2 linked regions of the Mus musculus genome follow. The protein of the gene in region 2 purifies or fractionates together with the protein of the main gene of each other region. This does not show direct contact. Links are inferred from orthologs where the notes say so. Each region holds a gene or a part of one and is shown on either strand. Other genes may lie near its edges.

Region 1 (4,130 bases), about 42 Mb from region 2:
CAGTCCAGTGACACAGCAACCAAAGGCTGGGACAAGCCCTCAGAAGGATGCAAGTGACAACACCTGTGTACCAAGGGGCCAGGAATTGACGGCTCTGGCCTACAGTGACCGAGGACTCTCCCAGTGCCCCAGAGGCCACTGCTATCCACCACAGGCCACCGTGGTGGTTCTGCCTATCGCCAGGCTTTCTACTGGCCTAGTTCTCCCTTCAGCACTCAGCAGGACTTCCAATGCTCCATGGAAAGTCAGGCAGGGATTGTATTAAACCCAGGTTCAGATCTGAAATTCTGAATTCCTAACAAGCTCTCAGGTGTTGATGGTTTGGATCTGTGCATACTTTTAGTAAGCACCAAGGGCCAGGAGGAAAAGTTCAGGGACTTTTTGATCCCTTCCCTGGACCAACAAGTCAAGTTACAGGAATCCAACAGCCTACGCCAGACTGATATATGAAAAGCAGGGTTTCATGTGGGACAGCCTGTCCACTAAAACAGCCTTTCTATAAGGTAGAAAGATTCACATGGCAAAGTCAACTGGGTGAGAAGCCTCAGAAAGCCCTGCTGAGGCCCAGGAGCCAAGGCCATTGCCAACTTACATGATGCACCCAATGGACCACACATCCACCTCAAAACTGTGTCCCTTCTTGCTCAGCACCTCAGGAGCTATGTAGTTAGGAGTGCCACACAAGGTCTTCTTTCGTTCCCCTTCATATTCCACTTTGGTTGCCAAGCCAAAATCCCCTGGGACAGAGGAAAGAAGAGAGGGTGCTCAGCTGCTAAGCCCGGGCTGTCTGTGGTTGCAGGCAGCTCTGTTTTGATCCTGAGCATTGAGAACTAGTGGCTTGAGGCCCCAGAGTCCCTGAACCCTTCCACTGTACTGGCCCTAGCCAGCCTCCCACACACCTCTTTAGATAGCAGGGTTACGGTGGTTAAGGTGGCTCAGGAGGTAAAGGGGCTTGCTGCCAAGACTGATAACATGATCTACGTCGATCCTGGGACCCACACAGTGGAAAGAAAGAACTGACTCCTTGAAGTTAGCCTGTCTCCATTCATAAGTAAATGAAATTTAAAATGCACAGGATAGCAGAATTAGATGCACTGGGGAATCAAGTAGATGATCTTCGTGACTGCTGCTGGGCAAGTGTGTGGAGAAGTGACAGGGATCTAGGGACTGGCCAATCAGACTCAAGGGGGCAGGTTTTTCAGCTTAGTAAAGAGACACCTGAGGAGATGCTGCCTGCCATACTCTACAGCGTAAGTCCAGACCTGAAATTGGCTGAGGGTCTGGCTCAGTGCTAGGTTATAGAGAAGCATTTGGGGGAGGGGCCCCAAGTTCAAAACTACTGAGTTGAGGCATAAACACCAATGCATCTAAAAAAAAGGCAAGGAAAGTGTCACACACACACAAACACACACACACACACACACACACACACACACACTTTCCACTTCCTAACTAGAGGGCAGCATCTCTATTTCCTCACCTTCCCCTCCTTGTCCCCTCCTGCCCTGACACCAGACACCCGAAGGCCCAGCACCTCACCTATTTTCACCTCCAGATCCTCGTTCAGGAAGAGGTTGCCCAGCTTGAGGTCCCTGTGAATGACCTGATTGCGGTGCAGGTACTGGCAGCCCAGGACTATCTGTCGCAGGTAGTAGCGGGCCTCAGGCTCGGTCAGTGCCTTCCTCCTCTTGTGCAGCTCCAGGAGGGACTGAGGAGGGAGAAAGAGGTCACTGAAGTCCAAGAAGAGTGGCTAGCTGGATGTGGCTAGGACTAGACGCTCGGAGTGGAGAGTCTTAGCAGGTTTCTGATAGTTCTACCCATACACTGGTTGGTCACTATCATTCACCAGACCCTCTCCTGAGTCTTCTCTCAACCCCACTCTCGACTCCCCTACCCAGGGCTTCCTCCTGGCAGGAGATTCCCTCCCTTTCCTGAAAGCTCTAAAATCTGACTCCAAACAGCCGCCCCCTCCCCCGACCCTGCCCCACTCCGGAAGTTAGAGGTGCGTGGCACACCAAGCCTGGGACCCTTCCTTAGCCACTTTATGAATCCATTTCCTGTACCGACTCGCTGCCTTGCGTCTGGGAGCTCCATCCCTAATAGCAACAGGATCTGGTCTCGGTTTCCCCAGAACCCCGGCCTCAGCAGTTCGGAGTGCCAAGTACCCTCGCTAGAAGCCTTTCCATAAAAGTTTGAAACCCAACCACTCCTCTAGGTCACTCCAAAACCTCGGTGCCCCTTTGTCAGCAAGTTCCAGGTGTGGGAGCCCCAGCACTGCGACTGAAACACTCACCCTCCTGCGACAGAGCTCCAAAACTACAAATACAAAGTCGCTGTCCTCAAAAAAGTCATGGAAGCCTACGACGTGTTGGTGTGCTAGGCTGCGGTGAATTGAGATCTCCATAGACATCTTCTCCTTCTGGTGGGGCTTGAGCAGCAAAGACTTAGGCACGATCTTGCCTGCGAACACCTCTTTTGTGTCTGCGTCTGAGATCTCGAAGCATTTGGCGAAGCCTCCTTTACCCAGAAAGCGCCCCCGTACATACTGCCGCCGGCTGCGTGGGTCCACTAGGACCTCCGGAATTTCTTTCGCCAGCGGGGCGGCCACTGGGGCACCGGGAACTGCATCTCCCGGAACCCCACCTTTCCCGAGGTCGGCTGGTGCTCGAGCCAGCTTTCCAGCTTTGGCCGCTGCATTCATGATGCCGAAGTTGCTCCACGAACCTGGCTGAGTCGGTGCAGAGGGTCCTGCTCTGCTCCGCTCCTCCCCGAATTCAAACGCGGCGCTGGGAACGTTACAAGGGCCTGCGCGTTGCTGATTGGCCGCGGGGATTTAAAATACAAACCCGCCCAGCGCGCGGCACCATGGGAGTGCTCTACGGCGCAGCCGCCTTTAAACTCCGATCTTGCCGGCGAAATTTTTAATGGGCAGGGACTGGAGGACTGCGTTTGCTCAGGATTGCCTGGGAAACCAGGAACGAAGCAACTACGTGAAGATCCCTAGAAGAACAGGATTCTGTCCTGCTTTCTGCTCCTCGGCTGGGGCGTGCTCATGTGGTTCACCTGCGCCTCCTCCAGGGGCTTCTCCTAACTGTTAAGATCTAACACCTTCCTCCACCGGACCCGGCCTTCTAGAACTGAAACTCCAGGCCAACCGGTAGCTTGAGAGTGCACCGCCTCCGCGGTGGACAGCCCTCTCCCCGGCTAGCCTAAATAAACCCAAAACTGAGCAAGCTCAGCAGGCAGATGCACCTTCACGGCGCAACGGACCGATCTCCTCTGTGGCACTAGGGGCTCCCAGCCCCTGAGAAGTAACTCAACCCTTCTCTTGAACAACGCAGGAGGCCAGCAGCATCTGCAGCACCTGGAATTCCCTAAGAAGGCAAAGGAGGGGCGTGGGTTCAGGATTACAAGTTAGCCGAGATCAGCCTCAGCTACCGCTCCACTAACCCCAAAGGAAAGAAACTTCCCAGGCATGACCTGCCGGTCAAACAAGACCTTCAGATGATTCCTATGCCCTGTGATATGTAAGAAACACCGGACGTCTGCCCCGCGATGCAAGGTTACCTGGGTTGTTCCAAGTTGTGTGGCCCAGAGCCCCAAATAGAAAAAATTAATTTTTTAGTCAGAGGTGGGGGGGTAGCTGGTTAGAAGAGTGCTAGCATGCCGGTATACCAAGGCCAAGTCTGCCCTGCCGAAGTGTCCGTTCAGCCTTCACTTAGGAAAAAAAAAAAATGAGCCGGGGCGTAATGGCACACACCTTTAATCCCAGCACTGGGGAGGCAGGCGGATTTCTGAGTTCAAGGCCAGCCTGGTCTACAAAGTGAGTTCCAGGACAGCCAGAGCTATACAGAGAAACCCTGTCTCGAAAAAAAAAAAAAAATGGATTTACAACATGTAAAAAGAGTGGCCACACAGAGCAGGCGTGTGGCTTTTCATAGAAAAAAACGGCCAGCTCTGGTCACTGTTCCCAGACACCCTCTTTGCCCCCCTGCCTATCTGGGCACTTAAGTGATACCTTCCGTTAGAAGCTGTTGTTGCTCTAGTTCCCCCAGGAGGGTCTTAGCAAGATCCAATTGCTGGATTGAGCAAAAAATGGCAGTGCTGCTGTCTTTCCCAGTCTCTGGGTA
Region 2 (4,007 bases):
AATCAGCCATTTATAGATTTCATTTGGAGAGATGTGGGCTCAAATTCTTTTCCCATTGCACACTCCCCCCCCCCCAAACAGCATCTGAAAGTGAGGAGCACAGGGAATCAGAGCCAGTCCTTTCACTCGGCTGCTTTATTTTTGAGACAGGAGCTCACCAATGTGGCTCTGGCTGGCGTGGAACTCAGAGAGCCACTTGTACAGGGGTTAGAGGTATGTGCCACTATGCCCTGTCCTTCCCATTTAATGAATAACTGTGAATGAGGGACAAATGAAGAGGATGGAGCTGGAGAGGAGATGGCTCAGACGTTAAGAGCACTGGCTGCTCTCCCAGAGGACTTGAGTTTAATTCTTTTTCTCATAAAGGAAAACAATTTTTTTTTTGTTTTTTGGTTTTTTTGTTTTTCGAGACAGGGTTTCTCTGTGTAGCCCTGGCTATCCTGGAACTCACTTTGTAGACCAGGCTGGCCTCAAACTCAGAAATACGACTGCCTCTGCCTTCCGAGTGCTAGGATTAAAGGCGTGCGCTACCACGCCCAGGTAAAGGAAAATAATTAATTGAGCTGGCTTAGTGCTTCCCCCATCCCAGCCCTCCAAAAAGGAACCACATATAGTGGTGTACTCCTTTAATCCCCACACTCAGAAGTACTCAGAAGGCAGGGGCAGCTGCATCTCTGGGGTTGAGGCCAGCCTGGCCTACACAGGGAGTTCCAGGGCAGCCAGAGCTGTGTACAGACCCTGTTTTAAAAGCACCCTACCCTAATAAATAAAATAAAGAAATCTTTTTAAAATACAACATTGAGACATAAATTCAAGGATCTCAAATCCGACTGAAACCAAGACAAGGGATTGGTGTGGCCTTCCTGCAATCTCAACAAGTGTGTCTCAGAAGTTTTTTAAAAAGCAGAAAATAGCCAGGCATGGTGGCGTATGCCTTTAATCCCAGCACTTGGGAGGCAGAGGCAGGTGGATTTCTGTTTGAGGCCAGCCTGGTCTACAAAATGAGTTCCAAGACAGCCAGGGCTACACAGAGAAACCCTGTCTCGAAAAACAAAACAAAAAACAAAACAAAAGCAGAAAATACTTGGACAAGCCATACTGGAAGACTTTATTTTCTTGGGGGAGGGGCGTGGTCTCTTATAAGCTGCTCTGGCCTTGAACCTCCCACCTCTACCTCCCAAGACAGTGGGGGGGATAGATGTGCCCCTCACCCAGCTGTCTGGCTTTCCTATTTTGAAATAGGATCTCTTTATATTGCAGATGTCTGGAACTCCCTGTCTTGAACTCCTGAGATCTGTAGATTACAGGTGAGGGTAATCATATCCAAATATACTCTGAATACAAATTTCTATTCAGTGTAAGTTAGGATTTTACTAGTCTTCATAATGCACCATTAACCCCAGAAGGGCTTAATGAATAACGTCATTCAGATGGGAATATCTGAAATCCTTAGCCTTGTACTCAATTTCTTTTCACAATACTACTTGTCAGTTGTTTTCATTCTATTCCCAGACTCTTGAGGCCAAGTATCTGGGGGTAAAAAAAATGATCAAAATCTATAATCACAAAACCAAGATTCTTAGAAATTACAAAGCCTTGTCACCCAACTCGTTGCAGAAAATTATTTTATAAATTCGAAAACGGCATTCAGCCTTTTACTCAAAGAGTCAGTTCTGATTGGATTTCCAATCGGGCACTCCCAAGCAGTGCCCGGGAATTTTCTTTTTAATAGAGGATTCTTTTTATTTATTTTCATAGGTGCGTCGGTGTTTTTCCTAGATGTATGTCTGTATGTGAGGGTGTCAAAAATCACCTGGAACTGGAGTTAAAGACAGTTGTGAGCTGCCTTGTGAGTGCTGGGAAATTGAACCCACCTCCTCTGGGAGAGCAATCAGTGCTTTTAGCCGCTAAACCATCTCTCTAACCCCGCCTGGGAATCTTAAAACGACCGGAAAAGAATTCGAATTTGTTAACTTGCAAGGAAATAAAGCCTTTCTTTCTTTCTTTCTTTTTTTTTTTTTTTTTTTTTTTTTTTTTTTTTTTTTTGTGACAGGGTTTCTCTGTGTAACCCTGGCTGTCCTGGAACTCACTCTGTAGCCCTGGCTATCCTCGAACTCAGAAATCCGCCTGCCTCCGCCTCCCAAGTGGTGGGATTAAAGGCGTGTGCCACCACTGGCCGGCTCAAGCCGTCTTCCTAACTCAAGTAAAAACGCGGAACTGTAAGACACGAAGAAAAAACGATACATTTAAAACTTTAAGGTTAAAAAAACTTCAGGGCTTTTTGTACTGTCTCACTCCGTAGCCCAGGTTAGTCTTAAACTACATCTCCTAGGCTAAACTCGAATCGATTTTGTTCTAGCCTCCCGAGCAATGCGATTACAGACTATACTCAAGAGATGAGAAGCCCACACCATTACATGCTCAGCGTTTACACAGAGAAGAGGCCGAGTAGCCGCGACTTGCGGCGGCACCTGAGCTCGGCCGCCAGCTACGCCAGGCCTGAGACAAACCCACCCCGGCCTCGAGGAAGCGTGTCAACCCCGCGCTGTCCCCGCTGCTCGCCCCGCTAGTGGCCTCGGGCACAGATGCCCTCCGGAGCCGGCTTCGAGCGCCCCAGCCACAGACATCGGTGCCTGAAGACCGGCGAACCCAGCTTGTCGAACCTGGTACCAGACCCGCACCTCAGTAATGGGTCCCGCCCCTAAGAGACCCGCACCTTCTCCTCATGGTGGACGCTCCAAGCTGTCCAGAATCGAGACCCTCCACTTGCCACGCGCGGGACGGAGAACGGTAACCAGCCGCAGCAGACTTCACCCGGAGTCCGTCTCCACTCTCGAGCCGTTGGACCCCGCGGAATTCAAACCGAGCCAGAGGCGGTGCCAAATGACAATTGGTTACCGCGTCCGCCACTCACGGAGCCCCGCCCTCGTCCCGCCCCTCCTGCGAAGGGCTGCTGCCTAGGCCTGGGATACAGAGACCGCCTAGGGCGTGGGAAGCGCTTGCACGGGGAGCGTGCGGGCCTCAATATGCGCATGCGTGCACCTATGCCCGCCTCAAGGGTGGGGTGTAGGGGTGTGGCCGATGATGTCACCGGTACCCACTGAGTTGCTGCCGTTGGGTTTCAAATTTTTGTGCTTCCTGAGAAGTATTGGGTAGACTGCCAGAACAGCTCGACTTCTTGCTACTCTCCAATGTCCCAAGAGGAGCAGGGACTAGCAGGAAAGCTTAGAAGGAAAAAAAAACCAGGCTCTTGGTCCTGGTACCTTAGTGGACAAGTTTATCGCATTTAATCATTAGAACACACCTGTTAATAATGATCATCACTATCCTGAAGAAAAAGATTTGAGTAGCTTTTCCAGAACGTAGGCGGCAGAGACAGGACAGGGAAATAGTTTGGGCTACAGGAAAAAACTGACTTGCCCAATTTAGCTGTGAGCAAATGGTGATTTGGGCTTTGTTTTTCTTGCACATTATAAGATTTAGGTAAATCAGGAAAACTCCACAATTTGAACATGACATCAAAGTATTTGTGTAGCCGGGCGTGGTGGCGCACGCCTTTAATACCAGCACTTGGGAGGCAGAGGCAGGCGGATTTCTGAGTTCGAGGCCAGCCTGGTCCGCAAAGTGAGTTCCAGGACAGCCAGGGCTACACAGAGAAACCCTGTCTCGAAAAACCAAAACAAACAAACAAACAAACAAAAAACAAAAACAAAAAACAACCAAAGTATTTGTGTGTCCTTTTCTTCCCACTGACCCATAGCATCTGTATCCCATTTTCAATGATTTACTATTACCTAATACACTGCTATGGGAGTATCTCCTTTGCTACTCAGACTAAAATTTGTAATAAAGCTGAGATGAATTTCTTTTTTGCTACCTCCTCCAAAATGATTTGTAGAAGTGTAATTATTGAATTCTCCTTTGCGAAGAGGTACTTATTAACCTATCTTCTGCACCAAACTTTACCTGGAGTATCCTTGTTACCCACAGCACTGGTGATTAGCAAT

What was found.
Region 1: the proteins of Prc1 (region 2) and Plk1 purify together in Homo sapiens (affinity purification with western blotting; 4 studies listed by BioGRID and IntAct, with this or other methods). This does not show direct contact. The link is inferred for Mus musculus from reciprocal best matches to the Homo sapiens genes PRC1 and PLK1.

The regions. Positions count from the first base shown.
Region 1 is NC_000073.6:122,158,114-122,162,243, reverse strand, and holds the start of Plk1 (serine/threonine-protein kinase PLK1), read right to left. Parts: upstream 2,810-4,130; 5' UTR 2,702-2,809; coding exon 2,294-2,701; intron 1,709-2,293; coding exon 1,540-1,708; intron 738-1,539; coding exon 593-737; intron 1-592. UniProt on the Homo sapiens protein: Serine/threonine-protein kinase that performs several important functions throughout M phase of the cell cycle, including the regulation of centrosome maturation and spindle assembly, the removal of cohesins from chromosome arms, the inactivation of anaphase-promoting complex/cyclosome (APC/C) inhibitors, and the regulation of mitotic exit and cytokinesis.
Region 2 is NC_000073.6:80,293,301-80,297,307, reverse strand, and holds the start of Prc1 (protein regulator of cytokinesis 1), read right to left. Parts: upstream 2,833-4,007; 5' UTR 2,728-2,832; coding exon 2,717-2,727; exon of another isoform or gene 2,360-2,716; intron 1,308-2,359; exon of another isoform or gene 1,261-1,307; intron 1-1,260. UniProt on the Homo sapiens protein: Key regulator of cytokinesis that cross-links antiparrallel microtubules at an average distance of 35 nM. Essential for controlling the spatiotemporal formation of the midzone and successful cytokinesis.